2 linked regions of the Oryctolagus cuniculus genome follow. The protein of the gene in region 1 binds, or shares a complex with, the protein of each later gene. Links are inferred from orthologs where the notes say so. Each region holds a gene or a part of one and is shown in the gene's direction. Other genes may lie near its edges. The genes, in order: AP2B1 and LDLRAP1.

The links.
Region 2: the proteins of AP2B1 (region 1) and LDLRAP1 are in contact, whole or in part, in a crystal structure (PDB 2G30), measured with the Homo sapiens proteins. The link is inferred for Oryctolagus cuniculus from reciprocal best matches to the Homo sapiens genes AP2B1 and LDLRAP1. Residues at the interface, in NP_001273.1 of Homo sapiens: Arg834, Gln835, Phe837, Leu838, Trp841, Glu849, Gln851, Ile876, Ala877, Arg879, Val881, Glu882, Gln884, Met886, Tyr888, Glu902, Arg904, Ser915; in NP_056442.2 of Homo sapiens: Asp253, Leu255, Asp256, Ala258, Phe259, Ser260, Leu262, Ala263, Gln264, Arg266, Thr267.

The regions. Positions count from the first base shown.
Region 1 is NC_091448.1:38,978,633-38,982,433, reverse strand, and holds part of AP2B1 (AP-2 complex subunit beta), read left to right. Parts: intron 1-1,930; coding exon 1,931-2,046; intron 2,047-3,801. UniProt on the Homo sapiens protein: Component of the adaptor protein complex 2 (AP-2). Adaptor protein complexes function in protein transport via transport vesicles in different membrane traffic pathways.
Region 2 is NC_091438.1:145,821,188-145,825,772, reverse strand, and holds the start of LDLRAP1 (low density lipoprotein receptor adapter protein 1), read left to right. Parts: upstream 1-1,560; 5' UTR 1,561-1,658; coding exon 1,659-1,746; intron 1,747-4,585. UniProt on the Homo sapiens protein: Adapter protein (clathrin-associated sorting protein (CLASP)) required for efficient endocytosis of the LDL receptor (LDLR) in polarized cells such as hepatocytes and lymphocytes, but not in non-polarized cells (fibroblasts).

The DNA.
Region 1 (3,801 bases):
GCGCCAGCCACTATTGTATTTTACCGCAAATTCCAGGTGTCATCTCACTGGAGTATCCAGTGTATACATAAGGTCCTTTGACATTTAAAAAAATATTATTTGTTTATTTCAAAGGCAGAGTTACAAAGAGGTAGAAAGATCTTCCATCCACTTGTTCACTCCCCAGATGGCCACAGCAGCTGGAGCTGGGCTGATTTGAAACCAGGAGCCAGGAGCTTCTTCCTAGTCAGTCTCTGTTCAGGGGCCCAAGGATTTGGTCCATCCTCCACTGCTTTCCAGGACACATAGACAGTGGAGACTTGAATTGGTGCTCATATAGGATGCTGGCACTTCGGATAGCAGCTTAACGCATTGTACCACTATGCCGACTCCTGTAAGGTCCTTTTAAAAAGCCATTGTCAGGGCCAGCTCTGTGGTGTAGCTGGTAAAGCCGCCACCTGCGTTGCTGGCATCCCATATGGGTGCCAGTTCATGTCCCAGCTGCTCCACTTCTGATCCAGCTCCCTGCTGATGGCTTGGGAAAGCAGTAGAAGATGGCCAAAGTGCACCCATGTGGGAGACCCACTAGAAGCTCCTGGCTTCGGATCAGCTCAGCTCTAGCTGTTGCAGCTCTTTGGGGAGTGAACTAGCGGATAGAAGATCTCTGTCTCTCCCTCTGTCTGTAGCTCTACCTCTCAAATGAATAAACAAATAAATCTTAAAAAAAAAAAAAGCCATTATCATGATACCATTACCATATACAAAACTAATAATAATTCTTATATATTCCTTGTGTGTTCCTTTGTTCTTTTGGTTAGAATACCTCTTGGATGATGCTGTGTATTTCCTATGGCATCTTATCAGGAGATATATAATGAAGTGATCCATAATAGTACATTTTAATATATGACAGATCAGTTCTTGATTTTCAAGCTTATTCTTCTAGAATCATATCTTTCTCTATCTCTTTTAAATATTTGTTTGAAAGGCAGAGTTACAGAGAGAGAAAGATAACCTGCTGGTTCACTTTCCAAATGGCCACAATGTCTGGGGCTGGGCCAGGCCAAAGCCAGGAGCTGGGAACTCCATCCTGGTTTCCCATGTAGGTGCAGGGCCCAAAATCTTGGGCCGTCCTCTGCTGCTTTCTCAAGCACATTAACAGGGAGCTGGATTGGAAGTGGAGCAGCCAGGACTTGAAGCAGCACCCATATGGGATACTGGCCCTGGAGGCAGTGGATTAACCCCTTGTGCCACAATGCTGGTCCCTAGAATCATCTTGCTTTGGAAAATTGAAACTTACCATGTCAATACATTTTTTGTTACTTACTTTCTTCCATATTTTCTTAATTGATAAAAGATTAAATTCCATGTATAACTTACGTAACTCAAAAAATGGTAAATTGTTTAGTAGTTCTTAGAGTCTTTTTATATTTAATTAATTAATTTGAAAGAACTTATAAAGAGATTTAGATTATGGGTAGCTATGAAAAACAGAATGAGAGAGGTGGGTCTTCTCCTTAAAGAATATGCTTATATGCTTATACACAATCTGGCAAATTTGTTTCAAGAAATGTAAAGACACTCTCTGCTGTCTCCATTCATCCATGAACTCCAGTTAAAGATGTTCTGCTTGGTTTAATTTTGAATTTTTATTCTTGCCTCATCTTGGCTTATTCTTTGTTATCATTTCTGTTCTCCTGGCTGTCCAAGAGATTTTTTTTCCCCAAGAGATTTGAATCGACTAATCTCTCAATATATTTTGTAATGAGCAAGATTTGAGGTATTTAGAACTGCTGTTGATTTACATAAGATAACCCAGCATCAAATTAAGGTCATGATTGTTTTCTTTAGTTGATACAAGTGTATGTTTCAAACTTATTTTTTTCTTCATGTTGAAATAGTATCACTAGATAGATTATCTGACTTCTCATTTTTTATGTTCCTCTTCCAGCAATCAGCAGAGCGCTGTGTCAGCACGTTGCTTGATCTAATCCAGACCAAAGTAAATTATGTGGTCCAAGAGGCGATTGTTGTCATCAGGGACATCTTCCGCAAATACCCTAACAAGTACGTCCAAGTGCTGCTATCTCCTTTTCTAAAATCAGTTAGGAAATGTTTAAGTAAAGTGCTTTGTAATTGGCTGGTAAGAAGTACTCTCTTTTTTTTTTTTTTTTTTTGACAGGCAAAGTGGACAGTGAGAGAGAGAGAAACAGAGAGAAAGGTCTTCCTTTGCCGTTGGTTCACCCTCCAATGGCCGCTGCGGCCGGCGCGCTGCGGCCGGCGTACCACGCTGAACCGATGGCAAGAGCCAGGTACTTATCCTGGTCTCCCATGGGGTACAGGGCCCAAGCACTTGGGCCATCCTCCACTGCACTCCCTGGCCACAGCAGAGAGCTGGCCTGGAAAAGGGGCAACCGGGACAGAATCTGGTGCCCCAACCGGGACTAGAACCCAGTGTGCCGGCGCCGCAAGGTGGAGGATTAGCCTAGTGAGCCGCGGCGCCGGCCGAGAAGTACTCTTTTTAACTAAAGTTTGAATTTTCACTCTGCTTTATTACTTTAAAAGAAATGAAAACCTGCCTGAATATACATGATAAATTAATATATTTTATGGTTAACATAACCAGATTCTTTGTTTTTAAAAAAAAGCATTTTGTGACCGGCGCCATGGCTCACTTGACTAATCATCTGCCTGTGGCGCCGGCACCCCGGGTTCTCGTCCCGGTTGGGGCACCGGGTACTAGTCCTGGTTGCTCCTCTTCCAGTCCAGCTCTCTGCTGTGGCCCAGGAGGGCAGTGGAGGATGGCCCAGGTGCTTGGGTCCCTGCACCTGCATGGGAGACCGGGAGGAAGCACCTGGCACCTGGCTCCTGGCGCAGCACCGGCCGTGGTGGCCATTAGGGGAGTGAACCAATGGAAGGAGGACCTTTCTCTCTGTCTCTCTCACTGTCTCTAACTCTACCTATCAAATAAAAATTTAAAAACATTTTGTTTGTACTGTATTTTTATATTATTTTTTAGTTTTTTAAAAATTTATTTGAAAGGCAGAGAGAGATCCCCCATCCGCTAGTTCACTCACAAATGCCCAGAACAGCTAGGGTTGGACCAGCCCAGAAGCCTGGATCTCAATCCAGGTCTCCCACATGGGTGGCAGGGACTCAATTACTTGAGCCGTCATTCACTGCCTACCAGATGCACATTAGCAGGAAGCTGGAATTGGGAGTAGAACTGGCAGTTGAACCTGCACACTCCAATATGGAATTTAGACATCCCAAATACCAGCTTAATGGCTGCACCAAATGCATAGACCCCAACCAGAATCTTTGATGGTGAAGTTGCCGTTAACGAGAATACCTAGGGGTGGCTATCGAGGCATAGCTGTTAAGCTGCCCCATGGGAAGCAACATCCCATATCAGAGTGCCTGGAATTGAGTCCTGCCTCCACTACCAATTCCAGCATTCTGCCATTGTGCACCCCGGGAGGCAGCAAGTGATGGCTCAAGTACTTATGTCCCTGACACCCATGTGAGAGACCTGGATAAAGCTTCTGGCTCCTGGCTTTGACTTGGCCCAGTCTTGGCTGTTGCAGGTATTTAGAGAGTGAAACAGCAGATAGAAGATCTCTCTGTCTGTAGCTGTGCCTTTCAAATGAAGTTAATTAGTTAATTAATTAAAAATAGGCCAAATCAGTTTGCTGGGAATGCAGTCTAGGTCTCCCACATGGATGTCAGGGACTCAGCTGAACTGTCACCTGACACTTTGCAGGGTGTGCGGCAGCAGGAAGCTGGAATCTGGAGTAGAGCTGAAGCTCAAACCCAGGGCAC
Region 2 (4,585 bases), on another chromosome or scaffold:
CAGGCCCGCAGGCCTCTATGTCCAGCCTCGTCACACGGGCAGAAGCTGGCCCTGCTGAGGCTCTGCCACCTGGAATAAACCAGGCTCTGGCTTGGGTACATCAGCTTCATGGAAAAATGGAACTAAAAGGCAAGTTTATGTTGGTGCAAAAACATTTCGGAACCCATGCATAGTTTCTGTCTTAACACGCACCCCCTGCAAACTTACCGCAGACTCCTCTCTGCGGGGATTTCTCAATGTTTGGCATCAAAATAAACTTCGCTGCTAATCCCATTTTCCGTGAACTTTTGGAAGGACGCACACGTGGGCTGGCTCTTTGCTTCCCTCGGGCTCAGCATGATGGGAAGGCCTAGACTCTGCAGGTGCGTGAAGAACCCCAGAGCCCAGACTGTGCGGGAGGAGCCTCCTAGAAGGGCATTAGGGTCCCAGAGAGATCACAGCTGGATTCTGGTTTTTAATTATTTATTTGAAAGGCAGAGTTAGAGAGAAAGATAGAGAAAGAAAGATCACTCTTCTGTCTGCTGGTTCACTCCCCAAATGGCTGCAACAGCCGGAGCTGGGCCGATCCAAAGCCAGGAGCCTGGAGCTTCTTCCAGGTCTCCCACGAGGGTGCAGGGGCTCAAGCACTTGGCCCATCTTCCACTGCTTTTCCCAGGCCATAGCAGGGAGCTAGATCAGAGGTGGAGCAGCTGGGACTCGAGCCAGTTGCCCACACGGGATGTCGGCACCAGGCGGAGGCTTTACTCCCTATACCACAGCTCCGGCCACATCACAGCTGGACCCGGGTGGGCATTTTCTGAAGGGTCCCACGTGGGAGAACCAGATGAAGTTCCGGGTTTTGGCCTGGCTTTGACCTGGCCCAGTCCTGGCAGCTGTGGCCACTTCAGGAGTGAACCATCGGATAGAAGATCTCTGCCTCTTAGTCTCTCTTCCCTTAAAATAAATATTTAAATTTCAAATACTTAAAGAACAAGACCCAGGCGGGGGGAAGCATCAGCAACTCAGGGTCAAGGGCCACGGTCTCCTCCCAAACACCTCAGTGGGCAGCGCCAGAGGCTGCCCGGTCCCCGAGGCTACCAGGAGGGGCCAGGGAGCCGTGGCGCTGGGCGGTCAGCTCAAGTGCAGAGCTGGTCTCACCAAGGGCAGGCTTTTATTTCTACTGCTGCCCAGTGTCCTGCAAGGTTCGGCCTGCACTCCTGCGGCCCCTCCTACCCCCTCCACTGCTGTGACCCTCAATCTTCCCATCTCTACAATGGCCTGGCTCTCTAGGAACCAGAGGTGCGTGTGTGGCGGGGAGGGGGAGGGTTTGACAAGGTCTCTCGGATTCCCAGGTCCCTACTGGGTGGGGACGGCGGCGGGGAGCCCGGAAAGAGCCGGCGCCTTTGTCGGGCAGCCTGGGGGAGCACCGTCCTCGGGACCATGAGCAGGGGCGGGGCGGGGCGGGGCGCGCGGGGCGGGCGGGCGCGGGGGCGTGTCCGGGGCGTGCCCTGCGGCCTTCGCCCCGCCCCCGGACGTAGCCGCGAGCCGGCGCGGGAGGGGAGGGGAGGGGCGGGGAGGAGCGCGCAGCCCGCCGCCGCCTGGCCGGGCGCAAAGTTTTCCTGGCGGAGTTTTGGCGGCGGCGGCGGCGGCGGCGGCGGCGGCGGTGGCCGGAACGGGCCATGGACGCGCTCAAGTCCGCGGGGCGGGCACTGATCCGGAGCCCCAGCCTGGCCAAGCAGAGCTGGGGGGGCGGCGGCCGGCATCGCAGTGAGTGTGTGCGCGCTGGCCGGGCCGGGCCGGGCCGGGCCGAGGCGCTGGCCTCCCGCGGGAGCCCGGAGTTCGGCCAAGTCGGGGCAGAGGCGGGGCCTGACCCGCGCTCGCGGCCCGGAGCGGCCCTTGCCCGGCGTGCAGGGCTCGGGGGTCGCCCGGGTCACGCCGCTCCCTACCTGTGCAGCCGGGGTGGGGGCAGGATTGGGGAGGGGGCCGAGGGCGGGGTCCCTAGGTGCAGCGAGGGGTGGTCTTGCAAGTCCGGAGGACAGAGCTGTGCGACCCCCCCACCCCGCGCGCGCACCTCCCCACCTCGCCGCTCGGGGCAGCCAGGTGGCGGCGGGAGCTCGGCGGCGGTGCCCGGGCTGGGGAAGGTGTCGCCCCCTCGAACGCCGCCGGCCCCGCCTCCCGGCCGCCCAGGTGTGAGCCTGAGGAGGTGGCAGGTACCCACCTGTTGGCAGCGGGAGGGTCCCGGTGGCGAGACCCGCGGCGGCCTGCCCTCGCACCTCCCCTCCTCCCAGGTCCCCGGGCGCCCCTTCTCCCCGCGCGGCTGGGAGGAGCCTCACCTGGCCCCGTCTCAGGTTCCGCTCGGGAAACTCATCACCTGGCGCCTTCCGCGGCGGCCCGGGAAACCGAGCCCAGGCCGCTTCTCCTTCGCGGGGTCAGTCGCACGGGCCCTTGTGGCTGGGGTGCAGCCGAGCCCCGCACTCCTGGCGGTGCCGCCCACCTGGGGCCGCCGCCCTCACCCCACCTGGAAGCAGCTCCGGGGCTGTGTGCGCCCTGCCCTCCATTCCCGCGGGGCCTCCGGGGGCTCCGCCCTCGCTGGTCCCGGGCGCGCCAGCGTGTCTGGGCCTGGGAGCCCGCCCTGCCCGCCTCTTGCCCCCTCTGCGGTGGCAGCTGCGCCGGCCTCCTAGCCCAGACTGGCCTTGGGAGCGGCTGGTGCCTGCTGCGGAGGGTGGGGTCACCGACCCGCTGGGGCCGCAGGCCAGGGATGTGCCATCTCCCACACTTACTCCCAAAATAGCCCTTTTAAAAAAAATGCGTGGGATTTGACCAGGACTGCTGGGAATGCCCGGCTGTTGCAGGGTGGCAGAACCCCGCCGGGACGTCCAGGGGTGTAGGGGAGATGGTGGGTGCCACAGCCCCCGGGAGGGAGGCCCAGGAGTGCCTTCACTCTGGGGAAGGGGAAGAGGCAGCCATGGGGTGCTGGGAGGGTTTCTGTTGCCTGTCCAACCCTTGAGCAAGTCCCTGCCCTCTCTGACCCCTGCCTTCCTCATCTGCAAAGTGGACACAGCTCCCGGGCTGGCGGGGCTGGGAAGCAGAGCCCGGATAATCCCAGCTCTCCTGGCTGCTGTGTGGACTCTCCCACTCCCTCCTGGGGCGGTGTGGACCCTCACATGGTGGGAGCTGTGCTGGGGCAGGCCACAGCCGGGCTGCACCTCCAGGGAAAAGACGAGCAGAGTGGGTCTCCCTCCCCCAGGCCCCTGTGAGCCCAGGGCCAGAGTCCCAGCTGCCCTTCTTACGTCTCGTTTCCCTCACCTGCAGACTGGAAGGGAGGTGGTGCCTGCTTCCTGCCCACCGTGCCAGGTTGAGTGAGATGGCCTTTGGCGCATGGAGGAAGAGCTCAGCCAGTGGTCACCACGGTGACCGGTGACCACGGCCTCTGTCGCTGTCTGACCAGTGTTTTTGTTTGCGTGATTTCACATGCTCCTGTGGAGGGACCCGAGCAGGGGATTCAGAGACAGCGGAACGAGGCCCAGTAAAGTGAGCTTCCCAGAGGCGGAGCTGAGGCAGGGGTCTCAGCGGTGCCCCGGGGGACTGTCGCCCTGGCAGCAGCAGAAGGCAGCCCCTGAAGACAGCGGTGGCCACGACTGCCAGAGGGAAGCCGAGGGGGCACCTGTGCTGGGGTGCGGGCGCAGCCTTGCTCCGGGCTGTGAACCAGCCAGGTCTTGGCTATGGCCTCGGGTTTGAGTTTGGGGTAGACTTGACTCCTGCCGCCACCTGTGACCTGCTCCTCACCCTCAAGGTTCTCACCTAGGATTAGCGCGAATATTGTTTAATTCCTCCTGGTGGAGGAAGAAGCCCAGAGGTGGCTGCAGCTCGCCTGAGGTCACACAGCAAAGCCAGCGCCCCAGGCTTCCACCCTGGGCCCGAGGCCTCCTGGCTCCCTCTCCCACAAGGGCTTTTTCCCATCTCTCGGGGAACCGTAAATGTTTCACCTCACTCCCTATCCAAGGATTCTCCTTTCTTCCCAGTGCCCAGAAGGGTGGCTCACCTTGGTCCCTTAGTACCTTTCTTTCCAAAGGTTCCGGGGTCACTCTGACCCTCAGACCCCTTTGGGGGATGTGCCAACCTGTCAGAGAACTCAAAGAGAAGGGGTGAAAAATGGGGTTCAGGGGCCGCCACTGTGGTGCAGGAGGTCACTTCGCTGCTTGTGATGCCAGCATCCCGCTTCGGAGCACCTCGTTCAAGTCCCGGCCGCTCTGCTCCCAATCCAGCTCCCTGCTGTGCACCTGGGAAAGGAGTGGGTGAGGCCCAAGCCCCTGCCGTGCACATGGGAGACCCACTGAGTTCTTGGCTTCGACCTGGACCAGCCCCTGCTGTTGTGGCCTTCTGTGGAGTGAACCAGCAGATGGAAGATTGATCTCTCTCTCTCTCTCTCTCTCTCTCTCTCTCTCTCTGTCACTCTGCCATTCAAATAAATAAGTAAATCTTTAAAGAGGACATGGGAGGCTGGCGCCGCGGCTCACTAGGCTAATCCTCCGCCTTGCGGCGCCGGCACACCGGGTTCTAGTCCCGGTCGGGGCGCCGGATTCTGTCCTGGTTGCCCCTCTTCCAG